3 linked regions of the Mytilus edulis genome follow. Each later gene encodes a partner of the first gene's protein in a complex. Links are inferred from orthologs where the notes say so. Each region holds a gene or a part of one and is shown on either strand. Other genes may lie near its edges.

The links.
Region 2: DNA polymerase delta catalytic subunit-like (region 1) and DNA polymerase delta subunit 2-like share a complex: the UniProt entries of both Homo sapiens proteins name them as parts of the tetrameric DNA polymerase delta complex. The link is inferred for Mytilus edulis from reciprocal best matches to the Homo sapiens genes POLD1 and POLD2.
Region 3: DNA polymerase delta catalytic subunit-like (region 1) and DNA polymerase delta subunit 4-like share a complex: the UniProt entries of both Homo sapiens proteins name them as parts of the tetrameric DNA polymerase delta complex. The link is inferred for Mytilus edulis from reciprocal best matches to the Homo sapiens genes POLD1 and POLD4.

The regions. Positions count from the first base shown.
Region 1 is NC_092350.1:57,670,329-57,681,170, forward strand, and holds the start of DNA polymerase delta catalytic subunit-like, read right to left. Parts: upstream 4,883-10,842; 5' UTR 4,825-4,882; intron 1,964-4,824; exon of another isoform or gene 1,931-1,963; intron 705-1,930; 5' UTR 676-704; coding exon 623-675; intron 1-622. UniProt on the Homo sapiens protein: As the catalytic component of the trimeric (Pol-delta3 complex) and tetrameric DNA polymerase delta complexes (Pol-delta4 complex), plays a crucial role in high fidelity genome replication, including in lagging strand synthesis, and repair.
Region 2 is NC_092352.1:36,391,939-36,402,378, forward strand, and holds the start of DNA polymerase delta subunit 2-like, read left to right. Parts: upstream 1-6,174; 5' UTR 6,175-6,251; coding exon 6,252-6,477; intron 6,478-7,685; coding exon 7,686-7,807; intron 7,808-9,280; coding exon 9,281-9,404; intron 9,405-9,814; coding exon 9,815-9,935; intron 9,936-10,440. Other genes in the region: nuclear distribution protein nudE homolog 1-like, read left to right, coding at 62-128. UniProt on the Homo sapiens protein: Accessory component of both the DNA polymerase delta complex and the DNA polymerase zeta complex.
Region 3 is NC_092349.1:58,947,431-58,958,155, reverse strand, and holds the start of DNA polymerase delta subunit 4-like, read left to right. Parts: upstream 1-5,862; 5' UTR 5,863-5,968; coding exon 5,969-6,056; intron 6,057-8,938; coding exon 8,939-9,031; intron 9,032-9,634; coding exon 9,635-9,746; intron 9,747-10,725. Other genes in the region: transducin beta-like protein 2, read right to left, coding at 102-305, 5,445-5,568. UniProt on the Homo sapiens protein: As a component of the tetrameric DNA polymerase delta complex (Pol-delta4), plays a role in high fidelity genome replication and repair.

The sequences.
Region 1 (10,842 bases):
ATTGAAAACAAATTAAATAACTGAATAGTTTTATGCATTTGTGATGAATTAATAGTATTTTTGGTAGTAATTTCCTTTGCACTGAAAAGTAATTATTTTCCTCAAGAATCAAAAACGCATTGGGAGAACTTTTGGACAAATGTGTGCACAGAACAGGCAGAGGAATGCTTCTCCCTCTGTTTTAGGCTAGCTATAGGACACTGGTATGTACAAAAATGTACGTGTGGTTTATGTGTAAATGTGTAAAAGTTAAATTTGTACATTTAAAAAAGATGTGGTATGATTGCCAATGAGACAACTCTCCACAATTGACCAAATGACACAGAAATTAACAACTGTAGGTCACCGTAAGGCATTAAACAATGAGCCTAATCTTTTTGTTCGCTTTAAAATAAAATTTAGAGTTGATTGCAGATCTTTGTTAGACATTGTTTGATGTAGTTTAAACATATTTTATTGTCCAAAATGACAAATGGTTAAGACACAAGTTTTACAACTTAGTAATGTCTTCTCCCAAAAAAAGGTATGTATAATATGTTCACAATATGTCTGTACTTGATGCAGTATTAAGAATTAGTCAACAGATGTACTGTTTGCTTGCCATAAAAAATCTTAAAAATACCTTGCTTTCTTAGATGGTGGGACTCCATTTTGACTTGAAGGTTTCTTGTTCATTTTATTCTGTTCTTAGTTGCACTGTGGGCCTGGAAAATAATAAAAAATAACAGAGATGCAACTTATCGTCGGACCTGTCAGACCTAAGGGGCAGAATTTCTGAAGGTCTGGCAAAACTCGTTGCTGTGCAGGACCTGATGACCAGCAATATTTTAGTCTGCTTGGGTCAGCCAAAACCTAATTCCCCTTTGGTCCCGACAGATTATTTTGTTTATAAAATTGTGATTTTACAACCATGTTGCATGATTAGATAGAACAACATTCAAGGCTTCGATTACATAATAGAAATCGGGAGTTCAAACTGTTTTAATGATAAATATTATAGCCTGACATAACGTCCAAATATCCTTCCTTATCAAATAAAAAGTAAACCTTTTGCAGAAATTCAGTTTTGAAATTGTATGTTTGACATCGTTAATTTATTGAAATATTTATATCAAACGCAGTACTAGTTGATTAGTTGTAACAGAGAATACACACCATTGGTTTGAAAAATGATGTAACTATGACCTCCGTAGCAGAGTTAAAAAAATATATGGGTCACTGAATATTCACAATATATTTCAGATATGGTCTGTTGTTTTGATGTCAAAGATTATTTTATTTTCTAAACTTTTCTTTCAAATTAGTTTTAATCTACAAAAAAGTGAAAAAAGTAAAAACATTGCTTGACTGTACCTTAAGTTGAATATCTATATCCAAATTCAATTAATTAAAGCTGTAATCCATGATCACAAATTGAATGCTTTGTTTACAATTGTTGAAAGCCATGTGCTTTTTGGTGGGAAAATTTGGGAAACCCCTCAACTGGAAACAGTTACATTTCATTGTTATTTATAGACAATAAGAATTTCATTTTTTTTAACTGCTTACATTTATTCATGAAAAATTAAGAATTTCTTGGGATGAAAGTGACAATATTTTTATACTCTACATCTAGAGGTGTGTAAAATGGAAAAGGGGGAGGGGGGCTGCCTTTTTAGTTTTTTTTATATTATATTACAAACACAGATTATTTTGAGTGAAAATATAGGTCTGGCAATGTGATGGGTCTGGCAAAACTTGGTACCCTGTAGGCCCCAATGTCTGACTGGGAAAAAAAACTATTTGCATCTCTGAAATAACATTGTAAATAATCTTATATTGTTTGAAAGTCTGACAAACGAGAAATTCAATGTACATGTAGAAATGTCACCTCGATTCTTCCTTGTACTATAATATCATAAAGTTTAATATATTGCCCTCATTACGGTACCTGTACATGTGTTCTCTAACACTCTTCACTTCAAACTACAAATAATATAAAGATGTAAAATGTAGTTTTAATTAGATATAGGAAGATGTGGTATGAGTGCCAATGAGACAACTCTCAATCCAAGTACCAATTTATGAAAGTAAACCATTATAGGTCAAGGTACGGTCTTCAACACGGAGCCCAGGCTCACACTGAACGTAATGAAAATTATTAGTCTTGGAGTATTCAGTGTCTCCTTCATTTAAATTTTTTTCTTTAAAAATAATGAAATTTCTTATGTTAAACATTAACACTACTTTATACTATTGAGACTTTATACTATCGATTTATTTATTTTTGTGTGTACCAATTTTCATTGATTGCAGGAACCTTGCATTTTCATGGATATGTTATTTTGTGGTTCTGCCAATGTCTGGATACAATTTTAAAAGAATTGATATTTTGTTGCACATTTAAATTCTTGATTCACCTAGCCGGCCTGTACCCACGAAAACCACAAAAATTGGTATCCAATGAACGGTAGGTTCACCCACAGGCACTAGACGTTCTGTCAATAGCATGAAAATATTGGCAATGGGAAGAAAATAGTGTCCATATATATAATATATATGGACACTATTTTCTTCCCATTGCCAATATGGACACTATTTTCTTCCCATTGCCAATATGGACACTATTTTCTTCCCATTGCCAATATTTTCATGCTATTGACAGAACGTCTAGTGCCTGTGGTTCACCATCGAACACCCGAAAAGTTTATTGTTTTGTCTTTTATCGTTATAAATGTGATTTAAATGTTATATTTAAGGTATTAATTCAACAAATCAGAAGATTTAGAGTCCAAATATCTAAAGAAAACAGAAAGGAAGAGTCTTTAACACCCCACTTTCTGAACTCGCAGGCCCCCATGGACACCACAAATATATTTTTTCTTCTTTTATCTGTTCTATAAAATCGAGGATACTTGAAATGATTACTAATTATGAATATTTTATTTTAATAACACACACAATGTAATCCAGAAAGTGATGAATCTGGAGACAGGGGCGTAGCTAGGTATTCAGTCAACTGTAGGCACCAATCGGCAGGGGGTGTGGGGACCGCTTAAGGCCCCCAGCAGGTCCAGGGCGTAGAGGGTTCAGGGGGGCGAAGCCCCCCGACGGAAAACGGTTTTCAGCGTTTTAGCTGCAAAATTTGATGTACAAAAATATTAAATTTACTGGTTATTTAATCATGATAATTATTATATACATGATGAAAAGTTCGAAGAATTATGAATAATGTACCATAACATCTGACTGGTGAATTAAATAACGCAGTACAATCCGTAATATAAAAAAAATATTTACAAAATGCATTGCCCAGCGTAAATCAGCGTATCCCTTTAATTAAGCAGTACACCCTGTTTGGTATTATCATATCTATTCCGTTCTGATTGATATATACGTTTAACTTAAATTATTATAGTACATATTGACGATCCTTCATTAAAAAAAAAAAGGAACGTTAACACTAATAGAACTATCCTTTTGGCTAGACATCAACCATCAATCTTTTGAATTTTAAACCTTCACCCTAGCCACACAAACATATACAGACATAGTCAATGCCTAACAAAATTCAAGAAATTCGTAATCTTTATATCCTCTACTGTAAAATCCCTACCTGCTTAGGAATTTTGAATAATTGTGGCCATTACACGCAGATTTGAGTACTCAAAATTACAGGAAACCAGTTGATTGATTGATTTCTTTACATCCAGTGTCAAATATTTATGCAAGTTCAGGACCGTTGAAATTTTTATTTACAATAAATAACACTTGGAGCTAGGTCCTGTAATAGGTGTGGTCCAGGACGAAGGTCTGGAAATTTAAAAATGCCATGCATTGGAAAAAGAGGGATTATTGGATAGGAGCAGAAATTTTGCCTTTCAGTAGAACAACTACGAATTCCTCAAAGAGTTGCATTCTCTCTACAACTAGGCATCGGATTAAATGTCCCTATTCTGACCAAACGTGACTGCGTATTTATACATCCTGCACAGCCAAACAGACGACCAACATTGGCAAGTCGGGTGAAGACAAAGTGGAAAGCTAGTTGAAAACTAACAACAACTAATTAAAATTCAATTCTATCCAATATTCCATTCACTAGTCTAAGGACGAGAGACTAGTGTACACATGACATTCGATAATTAAAGAGTTTTGACAACTTCACCGGCTTTCATCTACAGATAACGTTGTTTATTATTTTTTTAAATAACAAAAAATATTTGTGAAAAAAATATGTGTAGGCACCTGCCTAAAGTGCCTAACGGCAGCTACGCCCCTGGGAGACGTTTTTCAATGATCAATTTTAACATAAATATGATCCCAAAAGACCCACCCTCCAATGAATAAAATTGTAATAAATCCACAGCTACACCTGCTTACCCATCCTTAGATTCTCTGTTTTTCTGGAGTTTGTCTTGCTAAGTAGTTTCAAATGTTGTGTTTTGTTTTTTGTGTTTGTTTATAACTGTGGATTTGGATAACAAAATAAATAACAAAAGTCATAGATCTGTGAATCACTACAGGCAGACTTCAATATAATACAGATCGGGACGAACTAATTTTAATCTTTTCTTGTTACACGTATTACATGGTGTATCTAAAAGTGATTACGACTACTCGTACTCAGTCGTTCTCGTTACTGTCTGTTGCTAAACTGAAAGTTACCACAAATCAGTCATTTTATCAGTTGAGAGATGTCAGTGTCTAGTTATCCCAGTGCATCGTCTGGTCTTTTAAACTGAACATTTGATAACTGAAATGACATATTCCATTTGCAAAAATATCATCACAAATAAGATTGAACAAAATATTATTAATCTAATAAAATTAAATAGAAGTTACCCGTCGTCATCAAAAAATAAAAATAAAGCGGGAAATCATAACCGGAAGTAAATAAGGCTGCGATACAAATTAAGACCAAACAAAACTTTAAAATAAAATAGACAGAAAGGGTAAGTAAGTAAGTAAGTAAGTAATGACTTTATTTACAGAGGGTGACTCAATTAGCTTTCGCTAATCTACCTTGAGGCCCTCACAAAGAACAAACAGTACAAATATTACAAAGCTTACAGTTTCTAACATATTATGTAAATGCACTATTCATACTAACTATAAACTGTCTGTAGAACAAGAGAAAGTTATATATAACCAAACATTTTTTATAAGGGCAAAACGCAAGTTCTCTTACCAATTAAAATTTCTGCTATACCTGATGATAATACTATTCCGAGGGATTTGATCTTTTTATTCATTTTAACCTTGCGTCTGAAAGAGGAGGTCGTAAAACTGGGAATGCTCACGGTGCTTCAGTGGCGGATCCAGGGGGGGGGGGGGTTCCGGGGGTGCGCACCCCCCCCTTATTTTTGCCGATCAATGCATTTGTATCGGGACATATGTTTTGCACCCCCCCCCCCTGCACCCCCCTTTGCCCTGGGTTAGCACCCCCCTTTCGAAAATTCCTGCATCCGCCCCTGGTGCTTGGTGAAAGAATCATGGCATATATATCTTATTTTTTAGTACAATTTTTGTGATTTTTATTTTAGTTAATATAACTTCATATTACTTTAAAATGTTCACTTATGATTGTATGTGTTCTTGTTTTTATCAATAATATTTTACCGTCAATTGAATCAGTAGTTTTTATTCAGAAAATTGTCATAATGTCCCTATACTTTTCAGTATTTTCCATCAATTAAGCCTGGGGTACATTCCCAAGACAAGTGCATGTAAGCTGAGATTGATACATCAACCCATCTTTAGATCCTAGATTGTATTTACTTTATATTCTGAATTAGTTATCGGTCATTCATCAAATGTAGGGAGAATATTGTGTTTCAAGTTGCTCAGGGCAGGCTACTATATTTTCCATTTTTTTTATAAAAACATGTTTTATCAGTTAGTTAATTCAACTTTTTTGTTCTTGTTTTCAATTTTATCAGAAACACATTATTTTTACTTCTTTTTTTATCTCAAAGGAACACGTTGGGTTTCCCCCCCCCCCCAAATTAAGAATCTCAGAAACAAGTCTATGTTTAAACTATAGTACGTGGTTCGTTGCCAATTCAAAATAATAAGTTACATCTTGCCTAAAAGTTGTATACGCTTCAATAATATTGAGTGAATAAAATGAAAACATATGTTATGACTCAGTCTGTCACCTGCGTTTTATATGCGATTCCTAAATGTCACGGTTATGGATTTTGCAAATGGAAAAACCAACGGCAAATTGAGTAAGAGAAGGCAATAATTCCACACTAATACAATTCTGATTTCTAAAACAGCGTAAAAAAAGATTATTTTAATAAAAAGTCGTTCGGCACATGTTATATAGCAAAATGTATCGACTCTATAACATATTCCCCCTTTTTTTGCCGATACACTTTTTGAATTAAGATCGCATCTGTGAAAATAAGCGAAACCTTTATATTAGCAACATTAACGAGGGGAGGTAGGAGGGGTCCTGATGCCGAAATCCCGGGCTTAAAAACACGAAATCCCGAGGTCCCGAATTTAAATAAATTTAAATCCCGACATCCCGAAATTCGAAAAAAGTATTCCTCGATCCCGAAAGGGTCAATCCCGTAATACCGAGCTTAAAAACACCCGATCCCGGAGTCCCGATAAAGGTCCTACCCCCCCCCCCCCCCCACCCCCACCCCACCCCCCATGAACTGTGACCTATCTAATATTTCATCTTACACCTACCTAAAAATTTCAACAACAAGAGATCCTTTTAAATTAGTAGAAAGTCATAAGTTTGACGGGTCAATTTCTGACTGTATCAAATAGGTGTACTGTAAACGCTATCAAATAAGTAATGTAGATTAACATCTTTTGAATCTAATCCAGTCTGATCACACACATGTGGATAATTCTGTGAGTTTGATTTCTAACCTTTTAAGACAAATCTGAACTCGGATTCTTAACTGAAAAAGTCGATGCGAGACAAACTCATGAAACTGTTATGGTCTACTAATGGAATATCTGTTCCACAAATGACGACGGATATGTTCCAATAGTTGTAACCTCAATCATGATTCTCTATTCCAAAAAATGTGGCCTACCAAATCAAATTTATCAACAGACTTGGCCATGGATATGTGAGCAACACGACGAGTGTCACTTGTGGAGCAGGATCGTCTTACTCTTCCGGAGCACCTGAACACTCCCGGTTTTTGGTGGTGTATTTCTCAGTTTTAGATTTCTGTTTTGTTGACTGTTCTCCGGGGCGGATACAGGATTTTAGAAAGGGGTGGCGAAATTTAAAAAAAAAAATTGGGACCTTTTGGGGGCTAAAAACATTAAATAAGTGTAAAATGCACATTTTAAACGATTCTTTTTTGGCATGTTTATTTTATAGTTGCTGTAAAGTGTAAGGGTTGGACATTTTTGATGCTGTATTCTCCCTATTAATTGTTTATCATAAAATGATAGTATGCATGATCCAAAGCTATGTACTGCTATATTACATGTGGGACTTGTCAGTAAAAAATAGACATGGAAAATTCTCGTTTGTTGTATGTTAAGTTAGAATAACCTCACAGATTTCTTGTAAACCAGATATACACCGGGCTATTCGATGGAATTTACAATACGACCGACTCGATTTAAGAAAGACAAACAAGCAATTTTTATCCAAATGTTTGGTTGATATGTTTCACACAACAAAATTAAGGGAAGTGAGGGGTTCCAAATGCAGTTTGGTCTTGAAAAAAGTAATTAATATATCAGTTCGGCGAAACAGACATTCCAGTCACACATGCAAACCCCCGCCCCCCAAAAAATACGCCCGTTTTTTTTATTCATCATGTTTATTCAATGCTACATATTTCTGTTGGAAATTTTCGTTTCTAATAGCAAAAAAGTGGACAAGATTATTGTTTGGGGATCATCATTCAGCCATGTTATTTCTAGTTAAAATAGGCTTGGGCGTTTGGGGTTACACATGTTTCCGTAGGTAAAAAATATTGCTGTGGAACTTTTTAACATGAAAGTGTAATAGAGTATAACTTTCTGTCTCGTGGAATTGTGAAATAGAAGTCAATATGTTCTTGCTCAATCCTGTTTTGCTTTGAAGATGCATGTCATGATTGTCATCCTCAGTCTATCCATGTGTTACTGTAATTTGAGTTTCAACTGAAACGACTGAGTAACGTTTTTACGGCGAACTGGTCAACTCCACCATAGCGAATCACATGAGTTTGACATAATCAGTAAATACCAGCAAAAAAGATCATTATAAGTAAAGACTTGTCGCATAAAAAATAAATACACGGGAAATGGCAAAGTTCTCGAAGTCTTGTCTGATTAATCAGTTTACAAAAAGGGGGCGTACGCCCTCTACACCCCCTTCTGGATCCACCACTGAGTATTATCTTTTGCTGGCATTGTTAGGTCCGGTTTCGACGTATAAGTTAGACTTTTATATGAAATCTTGCACCTCAATTTAAGTGTAATGTAGTCAAACGTTTGCGAAACGCATTAGAAATCTTTTAAGTATTGATATTCAAAAAGGGACTCGGATACTGAGGTGTTTCGTGCAGTCAGTATGGTGTTGTTAGAACCTTCGAATATCCAAATGAGTTAAGCTTCTTGGAGTCAGTTTTTTTTTTACTGTAGACTCAATCTTTTTCTAATCTAATTTTTCCCTTTCGTGCACTGTACTATCTGCACATGTATTTCTTTGTTTGTATGCTTGACGATTCACATCTCCTTGGGGTCAATCCTCAAATTTGAAAAATTAATAAATTGAGAAAGATCACATCATTAAGAACATGTGTACTAAAAGAGGGACGAAAGATACCAAAGGGACAGTCAAACTCATAAATCTAAAACAAACTGACAACGCCATGGCTAAAAATGAAAAAGACAAACAGAAAAACAATAGTACACATGACACAACATAGAAAACTAAAGAATAAACAACACGAACCCCACCAAAAACTAGGGGTGATCTCAGGTGCTCCGGAAGGGTAAGCAGATCCTGCTCCACATGTGGCACCCGTCGTGTTGCTTATTAAGTTTCAAGTGTTAAAGTTATACTTCAACTTCATCAAAAAGTGCCTTGACCTAGCACTTAACCAAAAACTTTAACCTGAAGCGGGACAGACAGACGGATGAACAAATAGACGCACAAACCGAGAAAAAAAAACATTCTGCCCTTAGGTTTGGCATAAAAAAAAGTCTCCCACAATTAATTTTTCATAATATTTTAACAATCACCTCAGCGAAGGTAGCAGGCTAGGGAGAACAGTCAATTCGTCCCCCAAACATTAGTTTTTAGATACAGCTAAGAATGTTAAATTTGAGTATCTGCATATCATATACATGTAGATTGATAATAAATGTTGCTAGATTAACATCCAGTGGCAAATATTTCAGGCATATTCAGGACCTTGTTAGTTGATACACCATTCGAAGTGAAGAAGAAACACAATATAGTTAGGTAACCTTGGCCTACATTTTAAACAAGACTAAGTACAGTGAAAGCACACAACTTTGTTAATTTGTGGTCAGCTTAACTGTCTATGAGGTTTTTTTGAAGATTTCAAAAATAAATGATGTTACTGATGGCAACTTGGAATTTTTTTTTCATTTGCTCTATCTTACACGTAGTAATTTTATTATGTACTATAACATGTAGATTTTTTTCCCATGACAAAAACTGTGGGTCTTTTCTAGAGGTGGCATGAATCAGATGTAGATACTAAAACCAGGTGCTCCGCAGGGCGCAGCTTTATACGACCGCAGTGGTCGAACCCTGAACAGTTTGGGCAAGTATGGACAAAACATTCTAGCGTGATACAGCTCTGAATTTGGATTGTGATCAAATTTTTGACATTACATGGTTTTTTTTTTTACACAAAACAAATGTCAAGATTTTACAAATTTTATAATTAAAGATTTCTTCTTCAAACTTTTTAAATCTAAAATTAAATAGTTGACACAGCATAGGTTTCTGACACAGAATGAATGTGGTCTAATGAACTTAAAAGTTTGTTTTTGCCTTTTAGCAATTCACTATACTGTTGAATATTAATGCTCTCAAAAAAATGTTTGAAGAAATTTTCTTTTTATTTATGAAATCTGAAATGAGAAAAATTTAACCCCCCCCCCTTTTTTCACATCCCCATTTCCCTTTTTCCAAAACTGATATCAATTCAAATTTCTAATGGAGTTTGCAATAATAACTACTCTTTTAAATACATCATAAAATATTAAAATGTAAAATAAAGTGCTTGTTATCACTGAATGGTACAGATTGGTTGGTAGTAAAAGTGAATATACATTGTTTATTGTATAAATCAATAAAAAAAACTTCATCAGCAACATTTTATATTGGCAAATTTCCAATGAAGTTATTTACATAAAGTTATTGGCAAATAAAAATAGAAAATGACATCATAGTCATGTCTGGCAAATGTCCAACATACATTATCTAAAAACATTTTAGATAAGATAAGGAAATAAGATGTAAAAAAACTGCTTGTTATCACTGAATGGTAAAGATTATTTTAATTTATCAGTTGGTAGTAAAAAGTGAATATACATTGTATATTGTATATAACAAAGATTGAAGTTGATTCTGGACAAAGAAAGATAACTCCAATTAAAAAAAATTCTTGCTATTGCACAATATTTTGCAATTAGATATTTCTTGCTTACTATTCTGGACAAAGAAAGATAACTCTAATTAAAAAAAAATTGCTATTTCACAATATTGTGCAATTAGATATTTCTTGCCATTGCGCAATACTATGCAATTGAAAAGACTTGCTATTGCACAATACCTAATATAATAATTTTAGATCCTGATTTGGACCAACTTGAAAACTGGGCCCATAATAAAAAATCTAAGTA
Region 2 (10,440 bases), on another chromosome or scaffold:
TGATTACTCAAACAAAAAATCATTACATATTTTTTACTTTTCTTTTTCTTTTATTTTACAGCAGAGCTAAAAGAATAAGCAGAGGAGGCTCTGTACCACCACAACAAGGAGCCAAGATACCTGTATGATGACATAGCTGTATAATGACATTCACACATCAGATTTTAGGTTTTATTTTATTCTGTGTATGATTTGGACTTGTGTTGAATGTATTTTCAGTTACAGTAACTGTTAAGTGTTTTAAAACTCATTACATGTTACATTTTAAAAGAGTACACACAAAAATTGAAACCTGTACATAATTTTGAAGTTAACACTAAAACCATGAATTTCATTCCTGATCTCTGCTTCCCAGTTAATGAATGATATCAAGATAAATGTCTTCTTGCCAGAGTTTAATTTTTTTAGCTTTAAAGTTAAATACCTTGAACATATTTTCAATTTTGTTATAAAACTTGAATGTATAAAAGTTTTTTACTAACTAAATATTGCTTCAGTGAAAGAATTTGATCTAAATTGTGAAATATGCAGTATATTGCTGATACAGGATAGTGCTAATTTTATTTTATTCTTCTTGTTGGGCCATCTTTTATGTCAGCCTTATATGAATTAGCAGGGACCTTATGGCATTGTTTACTAACTTTTTGTCTCACTCAAACAAGTTGGGGAGGCAATGCTAATGTATGCTGTTAGACGTATTGTCAACAATGCTAGTGTTTATGATTTGGTCAGCTTAAGAAAAGTGGTAGGTCAAAGATATTTGGTAATGGTAGTAGGATTGCACATCTCATATCAATTAAGATTAATAGGTCCTGCAATCTAATGATGGTCCTTTGGCTTGAAACTTTTGCATAGTTAACTTGGTAAAATTTTTGTTTACCTAGGTCAATTTAAACAGTGCCACTTATAAGAAGTCAATAATATTTGGTATACAGTTGTGAAGAGCATTCCTTTCTCATTTCCACAGAGATTAAATAGTGTTGCACCTCCAATCCCTGAATGTTTAGCATAATTCACATATTAAGGTACTGCCATTTTGATATCAACATTTGCATTATACATTGTATTATCAAAATAACATGCAGGAGAGATATATCTATGTGTCAACAGTTTTAGTTATCAGAATGATTTCTTGGAGTTTATCAAATCTTTCAAATGGGAGAAAGAAATTGAAAGTTCTGCAAACTTTTTTATCTAGCTTATGATGATGCAACAATATATGTCTGTTGGATAAGTTAAAGATGTTTATATTGAAGAGATATTTTGTTAATACCTTATTTTCCATATTCCTTGTACCTTTATTTAAAATTTGTTGGTTTTTAAAAAGAAGAATCCCTCATATTTATATCAGGAAATGAAAAAAATATAATTTAAATTGGGTATAATAAATATACTAAAACTTCCAAAAATCATTATACACATGTAATGGCAAAAATTTCTTAATAACCTTCATGAAACAGCTGATGTTTTTCTCCTTGTCTTTGGCAATCTAATTCCAACAATGATTGTGAGGTAAACAATGTATAATAATTTTACCCACAAATTTAGTATAGTGATAAGTTTTCTGTTAATAACTGCTGACTGTTAGAATTAGTTTAGTATATAGAATAAAACCATAATTGTGTTTTTTTTGTTATTTTTGTTACACAATGGAGACAGTTGCAATATTATAAGAAAACTCTGCCTCATGTTAATTGTTATACTCAGTTATGTTTGTTTATATTTGTATCATTAGTTTGTTATATGGTAGAATTATAGTGATGTAACTAGAAAGAACCAAGAACTGTCGTTTCATATCAGTTTTCATGGTCTGATTATAATTTGTAGTCTCAATAATGTTTAAGATGGTACCTAACACCTTGACTAAAATTAATTTGACTGGTTTAATTTTCAAAGAATTTTGACAAAATATTCACTTGGACCCTTTGACAAAAATATAAAAATTAAAAAAAACTTGAATCACACACTTATTGGATATAGACAAATGCTAAAAATGACCATTGAGAAGCTAAAAATTTCCTAACAATAGAATGTTATTAAAATGTTCAGCTGAATTTTACAGAGTTATCTCCCTGTAGTGTTATGTACCACCTTAAAGAAATTATTGGTAATGTAGTACAATACAAATTCAGTTGAAAATCGAACTCTGTATTTTCATTTAATGAATAAGCATGAATTTAGAGAGTAAAAGAATATAAACACTACAGGCTTTAAGAATTAAGAAACAAGGGAGATAATCATAGAAATTTTCTGATGGAAAAATTATTTTGCAACATTTGATTCACAGTTTTTCTCTACAAAGTAGTACGAGATATAGTTGTTAGAATTATTTTATTTAATTCAGTGAAATTATTAAGAATAGATTATAAGGTAATGAAAAGATAAAATTCCAATATAATGAGGAACAACAAAGATATATGATAGATATAGATCAATGATAATGTGAATTAACAATAATGCGATAATTGGTTGTGATCTCAGTAGCTTTCATTTGTTTTATAATCATGCCTTGCCATGGTCCCTTCTCCTATGGTGATTGAGTCTTAGAAAGGAAGGAATCCAACAGATTTCAACTTACAATCTGGTTTCAAATGTATTACTGCAAAATATGATGAGAATACTTTAAAAATATATATCATGAATGACCTTTTGTTTGTGGATATTAGTTATTAATTTTTCTTGAGAATTTATGTTCGGATTTCAGTCGCATAAATAGATAGAATGTCAGAATTTTTTTATCTCTTAGAATTAAAATTATTTATGGTTTCAACTGATCATGACATCAATAGCAACACAAGAAGATCTGTAGTAATAACAATATTTTCACCGAAAGTTATGTTTAAGAAGAGGGAAAACATCACAAAATAGGATGATTTATTTTAATTTATTGTCTGGAATCTTATAACATATATATAACATATATATATATATATATATATATATATATATATATATATAAGTAATTTTTATCCGATCACATTTATAATAGACATTGTACATTGATAATTTATTTGTATATACCTATATATCATTATCATGTATTCATCGTCATGGTTAAGGACATTCATTGAATGTTTAATTACATATGTTGATATTTAGGCTTGGTTTGTCTTCAATTGTTATTTTTTAGCCTTTGTTTTTTTTTCTTGTTTTTTGCTTGTCACATTTAAATGAAATGATGTAACTGCTTGCTTCTTTTTATTTTCATATTTTATTAATAGAAGACAAAATAACTGCCAGCATTATTGTTTTCACTATCGTATAAACTGCATAAAGAATCTAAAGTGTCATTAAGATGTAATATTTAATATTTGCTATTTATCAGATCATAAAGTTATGGTGTCATAAAGAAGTCAAAATAAGTCAATCAGTAAAGTAATACAGCCTTTTTCCATTGAGTGTGTCAGTAAAGGTAATATCTTTGGTTAGCTAGCTTGTTAGCTGAACCATGAAGTCATTATTAGGTCAGGTAAACTACCCTCCTTTAGAGGTAGACTAGGCCGACATAACCAATTTATCTGTCTGTAGGACTACTTTGAAAGGAGGGAAGTATACCTAACCTAATAATGACTTCATGGTTCAGCTAGCAAGCTAGCTAACCAAAGATATTACCTTTATCTACACGCTCATTGCAATCAGCTGTAAAATGAATACTTTTTTAAAAAGAACTTGAGCATTGAATAACCTCCCTTTACTCTAGTGTGTAATGTGTTGTTGATTTTTTTTCATAACAAGTAAAGATTATGTTTCTTTATCCCTTTATCTTATCTTATAAATCACTTTATCAAAATGTATTTAATATAAAAATTAAATAGGATAGGTTTGATGTTATATTATGATTGATAAGTATATCGATTTGTGTCAGCTATTCATCTGTAGACAAAATATTTTTTTAAGAAATATTGAATCTACAGTATATTGTAGATGCACATTTTAGAATCTTGGTAACACAAAAATTGTCTCTATACAAAACTCTGGAAATATTAACTTTGAATGGTCTTCCTTTACAAATAAATGGTGTGAATGTGTGTGTGTACGGAGACAAATGTATTAAGATTATCAAAGATGTGGGTTTTTTTCTCTCTCTTTAAACAACTTCTTTGCAATGACATTATTTATTCTTTATAGTTGTACATTTCTTTAAAAGGTATTATTTACTGTAAATATAAAAATGTTGATTCTCTTGATTCTTTTATTCAGAAAATATGTCTCTATATGTTATCAGAATTACAGTTTTATAAATTGATTGAAGAGGTTAAACAAAACTAAAAAATGTGTGAGATAAGCATATTGCTTTTCCTCCTTGTGTAATCTTTGACAAACCTGCAAATAGCATTATAAGTCTAAAAAATGTAATTCTCAGGTACAGTTTTTCATGATTCAAAAAGAACTCATTGAATATTTTGAATTTCCTTGTCTTTCAAAAAGTAACTTTCGATTGATATGATGATGGATCTCTATTTTCTACTTTGGACACATAATTTTTGCTTTCTTTAACTCAATGAAAAACAAAATTGATTGAAAGGACATATTTTTTGTTCTTGTTTCCTCTTTAAAGATTTTTTTTTCCAGTTTGGCTGTAAGTAAGTTTTAATGGTAATTTTATAAGGAATGTGTTTAACTTGATGTTAACAAAATCATGAGTTTATTTATTATTTTGACACAGAATTGATCTACTCTTTCTTCTTTGATCTTCTTTGTATTGATATATTTGTTTAAATTTTGACATGCATAAAGGCACAAAAATAAAACATAAACAATTTGTATTCTGTTTTGATTTATTTAAGCCATAGAAATATTGAATATGAAATAAAACATAAGAAGATTACGAGGAATCACCAAAAATATTAGGCAGAACAAAAGACCACACGAAACACAAACATCTGACTCCTCTAAAAAAAAATAATAGTGTAACTGGTTCAGATAGCCTGACTTGTTACAATATACAGTGGGATTAAACCACTTTCACATATGCTCAAATGCTGCTATTTGCATATCTAGCACATATGTTGTAAAAATTAAAATTGAGATTGGAAAAGGGGATTTTTTTCAAAGAGGCAAAAACCCGACCATAGAGCAGAAACCAGCCAAAAACCACAAATGGGTTTTAAACACAACAAAAAAATCCTGCAACTGAAACCTCATAATAAAACACAAAATGAAAATGTTATTCAGTATTTGAATAAGTTAAATGTAGTATATGTTTCAGAAAAGTGTCCTGTGTATACTCCATATCTCTTGTTTCTAGTCTCAGTGGATTTTATTATAATTTGATAAGAAAGGTTAAAAGAGTTAAATGTAGCAATATAAGATCATGTTACAAAGTGGGAAAAAAAAACTATGTAAGCATTTGACTTGTGATTATGTATAGACATTCTCAGATCTGCATTGACATCACAACATGTAACTGACCAATCAATGATTAGCATTTGTGTTATGTAAACAATGTTGAGAGGTGATGCGGATAAGAATCCTCTAGATTTTCCATAGACTTCAATGCAAATTAATTTAATTGATATATATTGACACCAGTTGAATCTAGTACTTTTACCAACTTAATATTGTTAAAGACACTATATAATGTCTCTATTTTGATTTTAATCATACTATATCCTCTGGTTAAAAAATAATAAGCAATATAAATAATCAGTTATCACCTTCAAATAGATGAAAAATCTAGAGAAATCCTATCTGCATCACCCCTTGAAAAATTTAAATGCCAGGATGTCCGGATCTGAGAATAAGTGGGAAGAGGCATAGAGGTGAAAAATTTATAAGTGGAAACAGTTTGTACAGCCAAAAATTGTTCCATGAAATTTCTATAACACATGCAAAAAATTCAAAAACTTGGGTGTAATAATATGGGCAACTGCACATTATGACAAACAGTGTAACACAGTATGAAAGTTATCAAGAAAACAGTTTTAAGAGATGGCTTCTCACTGTGTCCTTTGCATATACATTGTAGGTCATTGTATATGCCAAAATGGTTAATATTTCCTATATATTCCTAATAATGATGAATCCTCATAATTATCAATTACTTAGTAAACAAACAGGAATTATTAGAAGGTGTATAATAATCTTGAATATAGTCGGACTCATTTTTGGACGTTGCATTCTTTGATTTGCTTGATTCATTTTTGGGGTAAGTTGTCAAATCATGCAAAGAATTTACCTTCACGTTAAAGAGTTCCGCTGGCGGGAATGTTTTCAGTTTCTAGAGTTGTTATTCTTATAAGCACACAAACATGTTACTTAATCCCGAAAAAGGCACTACAAATGTTGGAAAACTACTGACTGAACCGACAGAATCATCTGATGCAGATTATGTTCGATCTGATTGTAAATATGAAGATTTGTCGGAAAGATTTCGATTGAAATCAAAAAACTTTTCAAGACAATATGCTCATCTATATGCTGAACGGTTGTGGAGTATGAGGGACAAAGTAGTGGATGCTGCTAAATCAAAGTGGGGTAAAAAATAACTTGAACATGCCAGAGAAGCCACCATTTTTCCTGTTTTTTTTCTCCTTCTGAGTTGTTGTTTTTGCTTTGTTCTGTATTTTTGAAACGCTTTTCACTTTCATAAGTATGCTTTTGGTCGTGCAACATCACAACATTAATTAATATGTATATTCACGCAAAGCTTGTTGTAATTACTGCAGGGGGTCTAGGGCCAAGTGGGGAAGCTGAGGGGTAACTGTCAGAAGCCAAATCCTGCATTCTTGATTTCTCCTGGCAGATAATTTAATGATTTCAAACACCATTTTTTTTTAAACAAAGTTAACCTTTTTAAATAAAAAAGAAAAAAAAATCAAATGTACATGTACATGATGTAGAAATTGAACCAGTTGACATATTTTCTTTCTACTTTAATTTATATTTCAACAGAAAAGTCGTTTGCAAAACCCATTCTGGTTGGATCTTTGTACATTGTATTTACTCCCTTTCGCCAACAATGGCCAATACTAGCAGAAATCCCTGTGCAGGTGGTGCTCATCATTATAAAACATTGTCGCATGTTGACTTACACACGGGAATTGACATAGAATTATGTGGGGGAAACAACGATGTGTATGATTTTTCAGGCATATGCATATGAAACAAATAAAGAAAACGATAATAGTTATCCAATAATTAAACACCTCTGAGAAATCAATGTCTAACCTTAGTTATACACCAGAACAAAATTTCATATTGCCCAGGGAACAACTCCATGATGTGTTTCACTTGCCCATCTTAGATTTTACTTGCTTAGCACATATATATAATTGAACCCTGGGTATAAATCAAACTTGTATAAGTGCAGAACAAATGGACAATGCAATGGCAAGTAATTAACAAGCGACATAAATCAGTATACAAAACAACAGAACTATTAAACTACATGTATAGACTGATCAACATAAACCTCACCAACAGGGGGGGGGGGGGGGGGGGGGAGGTCTCCTGTGCCAAAGAAAGGTAAGCAGATCCTGCTCCACAAGTGGAACCCATCATGTTGCTCATCTCAGTGCAGACTGGGTTGCACATTTCTAATTCCAATTTTAAAAGTCTTGGTTCAATATTTTTTTAATCTTGAAAAATCCATGAATCAGTTTAAACAATTGTTCACCATTTAAGTTAATCTAGATTGGATAACTGTATATGAATTCACATGTATTTTATATTTTTATTTGTAGGAAAAGATGTAAATATAAAGAAGTTGCATGAGTTGCAAAGTGATGAGAAATGTGTTATAATTGGTACCCTATTTAAGCACATGGAACTTAGACCTAGTATCCTGAAAGAATTAAGTGAAGAGGTATAATTGACTTGATTGAATTCAAGTACATCAAATTCACTTTCAAAACTTAAACGTGAGAATAAACGTTGGTAATGGCATATAATGTAGCTAGTTGAATAAAGTTTTGTGTTTTAGAAAGATGATCAAAACTGTTGTCTATATTGTACATTTGTTTATATACATGTAGGTACAGACTCGGAGGGTTTCATTATTGTTTAAGTGGACTGGTACGTTTCTGATTTTATCAAGAAATTTTCTATGTTCTCTATGAATATCTTGTATGAAAATTAATTTCTAAATTAGGCAGTACCAAACTCTTGTTAAGCAGAGTAAAAGTATGGTTTAGTACAAAGTACTGCCTCTTTGGTGTAGGTCCACATACAGCCTTCAACTATGAGAAAAGCATATGTATATTCTATGTTGTAAGCTTAAAAAGGCTCCAGCATGACAACAAAAGAGAAAATGAACTGTCTGATTTATCATGTTTATGCTAAAACAAACGAGAGAAAAATATAGCAGAAAGCAATCATTGACCACCACTGAAATACAGATTCCTGATTTTGGACATGCACTTAAATAATATGGCGAGTTAAAGGTGATGGTGAGCAGTCATACATTGTACCTCCCACAACTTGGTACAGAGGTGAAACATTACTACTTTCAAACAAACAGTTGGAAAATGCTTGACTCATCAGATTACCACCAAGCTTAAAAAATGTGCCTACTTCTGTCAAACGGCTTGATGGATGTTAGTTGAAGCTCATATTTAAAGCGGTGTATTAAATGATGTATTCCCTCTGCTTCAAGCTAAAGGGGAGATAATATATATTTTAAGTATTTCAGTGCAGTTATCCTTTTATGAGTTCATTCTTAGTTCTAGTTACTGTAAATTAAGGTTACTTTTTCATGTTGTTAGACAATATTTCACTGTTGCCCATAAATGCAGCAAAATTTGAATAACTAAAGAATAACTAGGCGAATGATACTATATACATTTTTTGAAAAGCTACATATTGCCACAGTAATTATATCATACATTTCATCACTGAGCATCAAAATCTGCATCAGCAGAATGAATTGTATGCAGAAATGAAGACAGAAATACTATGTACATCAAGTAGGCTTTTTTTTTAATTTTTGATACACATTTGCTGAGATTGAATACATTATAATTAATATCTTTGTTTTCTCACAGTCAAATTGAAGTGGGTCATGTTGAGACTTGTATTCCAATCACTAGTCCAATGGAATTTTAAGATATACCCTTACAGGTTTAAAATACACAAAAATGAGTACAGTGCAACATGTGTAATCCGACACTGGGGGACCAGAAAATAATATCAAATTAAGTAGGGTGTTGGAATACTTAGGTTTTTTCTGCGAGGTAAGTCATATTTTGGGACCATGAAAATGTGTCGGTTAAAGCAGGATGTTGCAATACTCAGGTGTCAGATTAGAAAGGTTACACTGTATTGAATGTATTTTTTTCAGCATAATTTGATGCCTCAACCAATTAAGTCTAAGTACACAGATAGTAATGATAAATTGATCCTTGAAGATGAGTTACAAAGAATTTTATTAATTGGAAAACTAGATATACAGACTTCAGTGACAGGTATTTAGAAATTTAAATGCTTGTGAATACTTTCTGAGATAGTTGTAGGAAAATAAGATGCCAACTAGCAACTAGCAGGATCATTGAATTGTGAATTAACTATTTAGTTTATTTTTGAAAACAGTTTTAACAATTTTAAATGTTAAATAAAAGTGCATTGTTGAAAAGATAAGAGCAGTTTTTGTAGTTTGTTTTTTGTGGGTATACTCTTGATGGCAGGTATACAGTTGTATAAAAGATTCAACTTATTTATGTTATCACATCCAAATTCATCCAGTTGCCCAATCTGTGAAATGTGCATATTGCAATCTATTATTTGACCAAAATATGTAAAAAAACACACCATGAATTACATTAATACGTACATGTAGCATGATCAACTAGTTAAAATATTCACATTGTTTATATAGGTGTAATTGTTGCATTGTATGGTGTAGAACCAGACGACAACAGAGGAAAGTTCCAAGTGGAGGATTTCTGTTACCAACAGTTACCAGAACAAATACAGAGACCTATGTTTGAACATGACAGGTATACCAACTGACTTAACAAAAACTGGTACAGAATAAAAATGAGAACAGAAATGTTGAATATGTCATAGAGACCACAACATGACCTAAGAGCAGAAAACAGGCCACCCATGGGTCTTCAATATAATGAGAAAATCCTGTAACCAGAGGCGTGCTTCAGCTGGCCCCTAAAAAAATGTGTACTTGTTCAGTGATAATGGAAGTCATACTAAACTCTGAAATATATATATAAATGAAGTAGAATTAAAAATCATACAAGACCAACATAAGGCCAGAGGCTCCTGACTTGGGACAGGCATAAAACTGCAGCGTGGGTTAAACATATTTTTTTGAGATCTCAACCATCCCCTATACCGCTAGCCAATGTAGAAAAAAACACAATAATACACACAGTAAAACTCAGTTAAAAAGTTCATAAATAAATTTTAGTCAGATTTAGGCAATCTCAGATAATGGTGTAAAAATCAACTTGGAGAGTACTTTGTAGATATTTGATTTCATGATTT
Region 3 (10,725 bases), on another chromosome or scaffold:
TGTGAGCTGATACACAACTCTTGCACAAGGTATTACTACGAATCTAACAATCAAATCACAAGACAAGGGAACTGTTGATTGCCTCTCAGTGATAAATTTACCTTCAGCAGTTGAGATTAAATATTTCCCATTTGGACTGAAGTCAAAATCAAGAACTGGGCTGCTATGTCCTCTAAGAATGGTAGCCAGCCATGCATGACTAAATGGTACATGCTGTATTCGTTTGTGTCTTTGAGCTGGTTTTGACTTCTTTGTCTGTTTTTCAGTCTTGTTCACTTTCTTTTCTTCAGTTCCTGTTTTCTGTTCTGAAATCAAAAGATAGTTCACAATATTGACCATTAGTAGTTTAACACAATACTATAATTTTCCTTTCTTTACATTTCTTTGATTACATAGATACAATGCAGGGCTTCCAAAAATAATTTGAGCCACCCGTACATTTTATATCTGATCTCGATTTTAATCCCTTAAGACTAAATCACAAAAGGCAATTATGGTAATCAGATGGCCATCCCAATGATTTTTGAAAAAACGATATTAAACTTTACTTTGATATGACTTTGATGTTCTGACGTAAACTGTTAAATTGGCAGTGCATCATTCGAAGTGTGCGCAAAGCGTGATCATATCTGCCCAACTTAGATTCTTTATTTGTGCCAAAAGACGTTGTCAAAAACTTTACTTTCTTTTTTAAAATCACATTTTCGTAATACCGGATGTTTACTTGACAGTGTTAAAACATGGACCAGAAACGGATATGTTAAATCAGTGTACGTTTACAAAGCATGACTGAGCGAAGAAGCTCTTTCCACGTTATTTCTTCAACAAAATACTTGAAATGAACGTAAGGTACAGGTACTAAAGATAATTTTTGAATTTTTGAAGAAATGTAGGATACATAATTAAATTTCCCACCTGTGCACATGCGCACACATGTTCTAGTTCATACAACGTAGTTCTGACGATTGTTTCATTTAAAACCTTATTGAATTTTTCGTCAAATCATGTTTATAAACATATTTCTTAGAATTTTATTCTTTTAGCATGTTTAGACTACATTTTTGTAAATCAATTAGATACAAACCGCTGAAATGTAAGAAAATAGTTTACCTGTCACCTGAACAGGTAGATTTCAGCTAACTAATTAGCCTTGATTAAAATTAGAAAGTATTTAAGTAGAGGCTGTTTTGATAGTAGTTAATCATCTGTCACTTTTATGACCGGAAATGTGTGGCTGTTAAAGGCAAAATGTTGGGTCAAAAAGATTGTGTTTATGTTAAAATGAACGTCTAGTAAGAAAGCCATGAAAACTAAAAAGTAGATGATCGTTTCATGGGCAATATAGGAAAGGTGTACTGACATAAGTAGTCTCTAAACACATTAGCTCCAAATGGAGCTTTCGTTAGTAGAAGCCATATTAACTATGTGTATCAGTGAGAAAAATGTAAAAGCATAAAAATATAGTATATATACCAATACACATAATTAACAGCGCCTGGTGATGTTTTATAGCCTGTTACGGTAAACTTTTCAACATTATACGGTAATCATGTGACCTGATGATATAACCATATTTGGGCTTTAGCATTGGGTAAAGGGTGTTTAAATAATTTAAGAAGTACATGGTAATCATTTAGTCTTGATCTTTGGCTTATGATACACCTAAATATCAAGTCTTGGAATAGTATGTCATGGTAGTCATGTGATCTTGATATTTGGCTTATGATACACCTAAATATCAAGTCTTGAAATAGTACTTCCTAGCAGTCATGCAGTCTTGATCTCAGGCTTATGATACACCTGAATATCAAGTCCTGAAATAAACACCCTTTACCCAATGCTAAAGCCCAAATATGGTTATATCATCAGGTCACATGATTACCGTATAATGTTGAAAAGTTTACCGTAACATGTAAAGAAAGTTTACTGTAACATGTACATTAGCTAAATATAGATAACTGTAACCATGGAAAATCCCAACTGAATGGCTAATTGAACCTTTTTAGATATCAACAAGATACTTATTTATCCACTGGATAACTTTGATCCGCCGGTTCGCTCTGAAATGCCGGTTAAATCTCAACCACTGGTTAACTCAACCGCGGGTTAAACAAACCGCCAGTTAAATCTTAACTGCTGGATAACTCAACCGCCGGTTACCATATCTATATAAATAGGGTGCAAACATTAATCCATCATTCTGCCTCTGATGAAGGTCCTTTTCGGACCGAAACCGGTCAGGCTATAAAACATCACCAGGCGCTGTTAATTACGTGTATTGGTCAAGGGTCCGGAAATTTTTTCACCTAATTTCGGTCATTTTTGGATAACTTAAAAGTTGGTGCCCTTTTTCAAACAAAGATTGTGTGTATGCTCATACAGTCATACTCGTAGCATCAAGGAACTTGTTTAACTGTTGCACCGCATTTACTTCAGAAATTTCCCTACTATTTTCCTTAAAATCTTGAGCAATAAAAGGAAGGCAACAGTTTAAAAATGAAATGATTTTAATGACTCAAAACGATAAATTTCTCAAACTTCGCTTACGTTTCTTTCGATTTGAAGACAAAATTATAACCGGATGTTTTACGACAATAGTAAAACGACCAATTACGGACTCATTTCCGGGATTAGTTTTGTTTATCAAATTCACAGGAAATCGTCGGCTTTTTAACTGTTTTACCTTTAATAGTGTTTGAATATTAATTATAATAGTTGGACTTGTTTAATTTAGCATGAAATCATTTTGAATTTACGATTTAGTGTCTTTTGTGGAAGAGAATTTCAAGATTGCCTATTAGTAAACAAAGCACATGTGTTTGTAGTGAAACAATATTTTGTTCTACGTAAATTAATTTAATTTTAATTTAATTTTAAATCAGAATTGACAATTGTCTAAGCTGAGAAAAGTAATTAAATAATGCAGACAGTTGTTATGAACTTTTCATTTATTAGTTCTGAGCTTGTGATCAATAAAAAATTTAATTAAAAACACAGGTAAAGAGTCTTAGATTAGCGATCATTAGCCAATATTTCCCAGAGGCATTACTATAGTTATTAGGAGGGCCCTCAGGATTATAACACTTTACTGGAGTGGCAGTTTTATTACAGGAAAGGGATAACAAACAAAAAAAAGTTCAAAATGGCGATTTAGACAATGTTGGAAACTCGATCTCAACGAAATGAAATTTAATGACCGAAATTATTTCTGTAAAAAAATAAAATTTGTCCTAAATCCCAATTACTCATTTAGGACAAAATACTTTCAGTTTAGGTCAAGACTGGCATATATGACCGTTTCCGGACCCTTGGTATTGGTATATATACTATATTTTTAGATGATCGTTTCATGCTTTGTCCAGCCAGACTTTTACCGGACAGAATACAATTGTCCAAAATATATGACCGTTTTGGAAGCCCTGATACAATGTACATAAATTACTTTCTGTATTGCACAAATTCATATCATCCTGTTGTATATTGTAATGATGTGGCTGTATAAAATCTCTTCATAAAAGTAAAGGAATTAAAAGGGGGCGAAAGGTATTAGAAGAAAATTCACTCATCAATCTAAGGAATTAAAAGTTGCCTTGGTCATGTTGGTCTCTTATTTTCATATTCTTATTGATAGTGTTGTTTAACTAAATGTTGTTAAAAAAAACAATACAACCTGTCACCAAACTATGTATATATCTGCCTACCCAACATGAGGAAACTCTTCAGTGGTTGTTTTAAGTTACATATCTAATAAGCATATTTTTTTTATAAAGAATTTGACATAACAACAATTTTACATGACACTTCAAGTCACCTAGTCTTGACAGGAATCCAGGTTGGTTCACCCTGATTCGTGTTCGCCCTAGTACCTGTTCGAATGGACCCAGGGCGAAAGTGTAATCAGGGCGAACAGACCCGATAGTCGATACCATCATGACAGTGACCAAAGTTAAGGTTCATCATACCAAATGGACAAATATGGCTGTATTTTCACCTCAAAAACTACTCTGTGTACAGACTTACTTGTGCTGATTGGAAAGTTTTAAGGCCTAGCATCCACTAGATATATAAAAGTAAAATGCATTTTATATTTAAGAAAGATAAAATCTTTCTTGGTTTTTGATGGGCATTTTTTTCCTTTCTGCAGAAGGTGTAAAAATAAACAAACACCTGAATTACTTTGATACTGTCCACTCACTGACTCAGATAAACTCTTTTTTTACTCACCTGTAGTTGTGAAGATACCTCTTGTCCATGTCAAGTAAGGACAATCAAAACAATACAAACCCATTTTTTACCTGAGGGAGCATCTCAAAGTTGTACCACAACTTAGTTAATTTTCACACCATATGCACGAGGGGAATAAAATGCCCGTCAAAATCCAAAAGAAATTTTATCTTTCTGAACATGCTGAAACACAAAATGCATTTAAATTTTATATATCTAGTGGATGCTAGGCATTAAAACTTTTCCAACTTCACAAGTAAGTCTGTACTCAGAGTAATTTTTTGGCACGTTTATACAGCCATATTTGTGCGTTTGTTATGATGAACTTTAAAAAAAGTATCTGTCAACATAATTTTAATAATTTGCCCTAATCTTGCACAGTGACTGTGTAACAGCCACTATGTTCCGTCAGTTACTCTGTTCCGGTTGAACTTTTCAACTAGTTACTTTATTCCGAGTGCAGTTGAAAAGTTCCGGAAAAAAGTAGCTATTTGAAAAGTCTCGGAACAATGTAGCTAGTTGAATAGTTCTGGTGGAACAGAACAACTAGCTCCTTCGGTCAGAATGTTGCCTTCATAACGGAATAAGTTCTAATTTATTTTCATACATTAATCTGAAATTGATATTTTTAAAAGTACCCATATGAGGAGGAACTTTTGGGCCAGTTTGTTAGTTCCGGTTGTGACTGATTTGCCAAAGAGGAACTTTGCGACTAGTTGATAAGTTCCTTTTGACTTTTGTAATCAGTATCTTGGTTCCACTTTGAAAGGTTCAAATATAATATCTTGCGCTTTTACTTTACACCAATTCTCCAAATGGAACTTTGTGACTGGTTGATAAGTTCCGCTGGAACTTTTGGGCTAGTTTGTTAGTTCCGGTTTTGACTAATTTGGCAAAAAGGAACTTTCTAACCATGCTAACTGCTTGATATGTTCCGTTGGTTTCAACTAGTCACTTTGTTCCGGGAGAACTTTTAAACCAGAGGAAGAACAAAGTAACTAATTAATAAGTTCCTTCGGAACTTTTCGGCTAGTTCTTTCCAACGTCGGAACAAAAGAGCATTTACAACTGTGCATGAATAATAGTTTTTAAGTAAGAATAATGCACTTGAACAGTTCAAATTTCTTCTCAATGAGTATAAAGCTAAAGCTTTAATGGTAAAATTCCATATTTTTTTGTATTCTCAATTTTATCACTTAAGCCCAAAAATAAAATAATACCATCTTCATCCTTTTTGTCTGCACGTCTTCCGACACTGCATAAAAGAACGAATAATAGGACTACAGCTCCAACTGCAGCAGTAACTGCTAACGCCGGTACTGAGTTTTCTGCAGAATCCGCCATGCTGATGAGTTGGAAAATATTTTTCGATATTCCTCTTACTTTTTCATATTTTGTGTGGATATCGCCGAAGATTTACGATCGTTTCAATTTTAAAGATTTTAAAATAAAAATCGAATTTTTGAAATTATTAAACACAATTTTATAAAAATTATATCCTATTCATGATAAACATAATTCAATTCTTCTCATATATAATATGTTAACATGTAAAATTTTAAAAAAAAAGTTAAAATTTTCTTTTATCTTAAAAATAGAGATTTCACCAATTTCGTTTCGTCTAATATTTGGAGCATTAGATAAACCGAGATAAACATTACCTACTTTCGCTTTTGAAGGAAGCTGAGTTTGCAAATTAAAGTGTCAAGTTATAACCTGTAAACATAACCTAAGAAGCAGAACAATGAAAATGGCAACACGTTCTTTCATTACCAATTCTTTCAAGTCTGTCAAGACTCCTAAAGGAAAAGATAAAAAGGAACCAACAAATGGTATTTTAAAAGCTGAATTTATATATATACGTAAAATATATTGATAATTATAAAAACTAGAAGCATATAAAAAATGATAGACCCCTTTAGGGATTCTGACTGCAGAGCAATTTTTTGATTTAACCACTTTGAGAGTGACCAAATCAGAAAATGGCTACTGACTCAGGGGATCCCAAAAGGGATTCAGAAATGTAATCCAACTTAGAAATTGGTAATTTTAACTCATTTATTGTAATACACCTTATCGCTATGTGTCCGCCATTACTGGACATCACACAAGTTCCTGTAAAATGTTGACATGAAAATACAAAATATCTGACACCACAATAGAAAAGTGGTTGTTGTATGATGTCAATAATTCAAGCAGGACAGATTCTTGGGTAAATGGGTAAGCTGGTAATAGTGTATATGTACACATGTAATTAACCATATAATTAAAATTGAGAATGGAAATGGGGAATGTGTCAAAGAGACAACAACCCGACCAAATAAAAAACAACAGCAGAGGGTCACCAACAGGTCTTCAATGTAGCGAGAAATTCCCGCACCCGGAGGCGTCCTTCAGCTGGCCCCTAAACAAATATACATGTATACTAGTCCAGTGATAATGAACGCCATACTAATTTCCAAATTGTACATATATATTGTTACATACACAATCTAACAAGTTGAGATATATAAACACCAAAAGATGGTGACAATTCTAAAAATGAATAACTAACATTAGGAAATGAAAAGTCACCTCTTTTATCATAAATACTGGTATTTAGCTTCCCATTAAGGATATAGATATCAAGATCCAGGAAAGGGCAGTGTTCATTGTTAGTATTAGCATGGAAGTATTATATTGACAGGAACTCTAACAAGCGGACTTCAAACGTTTATAGTGCGATGCCGCAAAATCGTTAAGTATCTGTTATAATGAACTTGACATGTCTTATGGATGCATGGGTTCCGATCAATTTTTTGGAACCTTGTGAATGATTGTAATTACAGAACATACCGAAATAACCAGATGTGTACTTAATTCAAGGAAATGACATTTACCGACCATGTGAATGACAAATATGTTAGTTTTTACAGGATTTGCTGCTTAAAAACAAATAAAAAGAAAATAAACGAAATCCCGCGACTGTTTTCACCAAAAAAAAAAAAAAAAAAAAAAAAACTGAAGAGTAAAAATACTCACAAGCCATAAACATTTCAGTTTAAGTTGCAATCAATTTTAAAATAGTAAGATTTTTATTCATGAGAGAGCCATTGACTAAACATGCGTAACTGTTATATACATGGTAGGCTTGAAAATCATAAAATTCTCATGTAAAGTAAAAGGAAAAGTTTTTATCAGTAATTATTATCGCGTTTTACTGCTAACTTTGACAAATATTTTAATAAAGTGTTTAATGAAAGAATTTCAAACAAAAATTTAATCCAAAAGTTGGCCGGGGGGACGGGGTTAAAAAGCTTTGATCCGAAGAAAATATCAAATATTTTGATTTATTGTTTACTAAAAGTCCAATGGCAAATATTTCATGCAATTAAACAAGAAACAGAAACATAAATTGCTTAGCATACAGTGTAAGATGTCACAGTTCAGAACTGTTAAGCTTTTAAACACATAAATAAATTCTAATTTGGTTTCCATGATAAAAAAAAATTAAACTGCATAGGGCCCATCATGGTGATCGTTCTTTAAATGCATCCAGAAATATTAAAAGCCATCCTTAAAAATAAATCTGTCAGACGTCAGATCGAGTAATCTCGGACTAGGTTGAATATTTAAGGTTGTTTACAACTTTGGAATTATCATAAAAGGTGTAACAATTCATCTGCATGTCTCGTAACCTGATATTGCTATGTAGAGGTCATCACATGTGTGTAATTATTAACCTCTTTTAGTCTTTAAAACATATTTGATAAATAAGTTAATAACATTTTACGATAGAGAAAACCATAAATATTTGTGTAACACTCGATAAAATTTTACAATCTTTAAACTAAAATTTGAGTTATCTGGCACCATCTGGCACACTACAAGCGCATCACATTATTTTCTGTTACCACTCTTACTTCAGAATCATGTAATTTTCATAATCGGATATTTCCTGTTTTCCAAGTTCCAATGATTAAAACATACTCAACAAAACTAAAAATAAGCTTGCCCTTTTTCCGAATGCAGTTAATTTTATTATGTCATTCTGTTAAATATGGACCAATTTTTTCGATCTTTTCAGCGTTGTTCTTCATTTATTGAACGGAAACAGGTGTTGTTGTTTATGTGGCAATTAACAAATAACCACGGGAGTTTCCGTGTTTATTTACATTGGTAGGTAGATAAGACAATCAATATTAAATCAAGTGATAAGACCAGCTTCAGTTAAAAGAACAGGCGAAGGTGGCATCACAGATACCCCACAAAGGAGTTATCACGAACTTGTCAAACTGAGTCGGAACCTTTTATTTTCTTAAAGAAATCAGTGGGATGGGAATGTGCTAATTTTTCGTTGGAGTTACTGTCAATATAATACTTCCATGGTATTAGCTTTATTTAAGGTCAGGTAGGCAGGATAAATCTCTTTAGTGTACATACTGAAATCATTGTTGAGATCCAATATCACCCAAAGGACTAAAAGTGTTATTAAATTTTTGAATCAGATGTTCTTTCGATGGTCTATGCTGATTTTAGTCATAAATTCTAACTCATATTAATACAGAAGTATATAAAGTGTAATTTTCCAAAAAGACCAGTTGAGATGAAAATATTAACAGCAAAAGTTGAACATGTACAATTACAAAAATGTCCAGGTATTAAGTTTTTGTTGAATGATATGAATTTCATTGATTTATTTTCACATGTGCATTATCTTTATTTTGTATTCCAGATGGCCATCCAAGCACAAGTAAAACAGATGTAGAAGATGAATTGAAAATACTGAGGCATTTTGATGTCACATTAGAATTTGGTCCATGTTCAGGTATATATTGTTTTATAGAATGATATTCCATCATTAAACAAATTCATATTTGTTTGCCCCTGAAGTGGAGAGGGTATTTAGTTTTACCCTTGTCCAACTGTACATCTGTCCCTACTTTCATACATCCCGAAATTGGTTCCGTTCTCTATCTTTAGCTTGCCACAACCAAATGTTATGAAACTAATACACAATACTTATTACCACAAAAGGACAGATAAAGTTTGAATTTGGGTGGGGTTCACTTTTACCTTTCTAGAGTTGTGCCCCTTTACCAAAACAAATTTTTCATTTCTATTCCCTAACTTCAGTTTGTCTCATTCAAATGTTATGAACCTTATACCCAATACTTATTACCACAAACCACAGACCAAGCACGAATTTAGGTAGAATCACTTTTACAGTTAATGAGTTATGACCCTTTATAGTGTAAAATACATCATCTGTGTCTCGTGGAAAATTCCAATCTTATTTATTTTAGGTAATTTCACTCATAGTCTATTTCATGAAAAAGAATATGCTTCTAATATAGCTTTCATCATCCAATGTTCAACATACCACATAAAGTCAATAAAGTTAACCTTTTACATACATTGTACATTTTAGGAATAACAAGAATGGAAAGATGGAAGAGAGCAGATAAACACGGCCTGAATCCTCCAGTCATTGTAAAGGAAATCCTAGATAAACATTTAGACGATGAAGAATACACAGAATGGTGAGATATATATAATATTGTCAGAAAAATAGTTCATATATACATGATATATATAATATTGTGAGACAAAAAAGTTCATATTATAGGGTTATTGCATGAATATTAGGGAATAGAGTAAAATTTTATATTGCACGAGCTTGCGAGTGCAATATATGTTCTACGAGGGACAATATTCCCCAATATTCATGCGATAATCCTTTTATTGAATAGCAATATAATATTTGTAAGTAAAAATTAGTTTAAACTAAGATTTTGTCTTGATGACGTCATGAATTTTGAAGATTTATTGCACTAGTGCAATATTGGAACTTATTGCACGCTAACTTTTGGTTACTTTCTGTGGGAAATATGATATTGCTATGCAATAAATACACATATTAAATCATATTTTTTTATTGACGAATTTTATTTTAGAAATATTTAAAATAAGGCTACCTCAACTTCTACTTTGAAGTGAAAGTTCATAGGGAAATAGTTTCAATGACGTTTTCCTTTGGGATATAGTTTACCAGAAGCAACAGTTTTCCCCAAATTTATTAATCTTCAGGTGTTTCTAGTTTTGACATTCAGTAACTTCGATATCAATTACAAGTAATGTTTAACATGTTTATCATACTCCACACAGCTGATATATAGCTTTGTTTCTCTTTAAATTGGATCAAGATTTTTTCTTTGACCGTTATGGAATAACTGTTTCACAAATGATATCGGATATGTTCCTTACGTCGTAACTACAACCCCCTTTCCTTTCTTGAATGTAACCTACCAAATAAGACTATTTACCGGATTTGTTATCACATAAGCAACACGACAGGTGCCACATATGGAGCAAAATCTGCTTACCCTTCCAGAACGCCTGAGATCACCCCTAGTTTGGTGGGGTTCGTGTTGTTTATTCTTTAGTTTTCTATGTTGTGTCATGTGTACTATTGTTTGTCTGTTTGTCTTTTTTCATTTTTGGCAATGGGGTTGTCAGTTT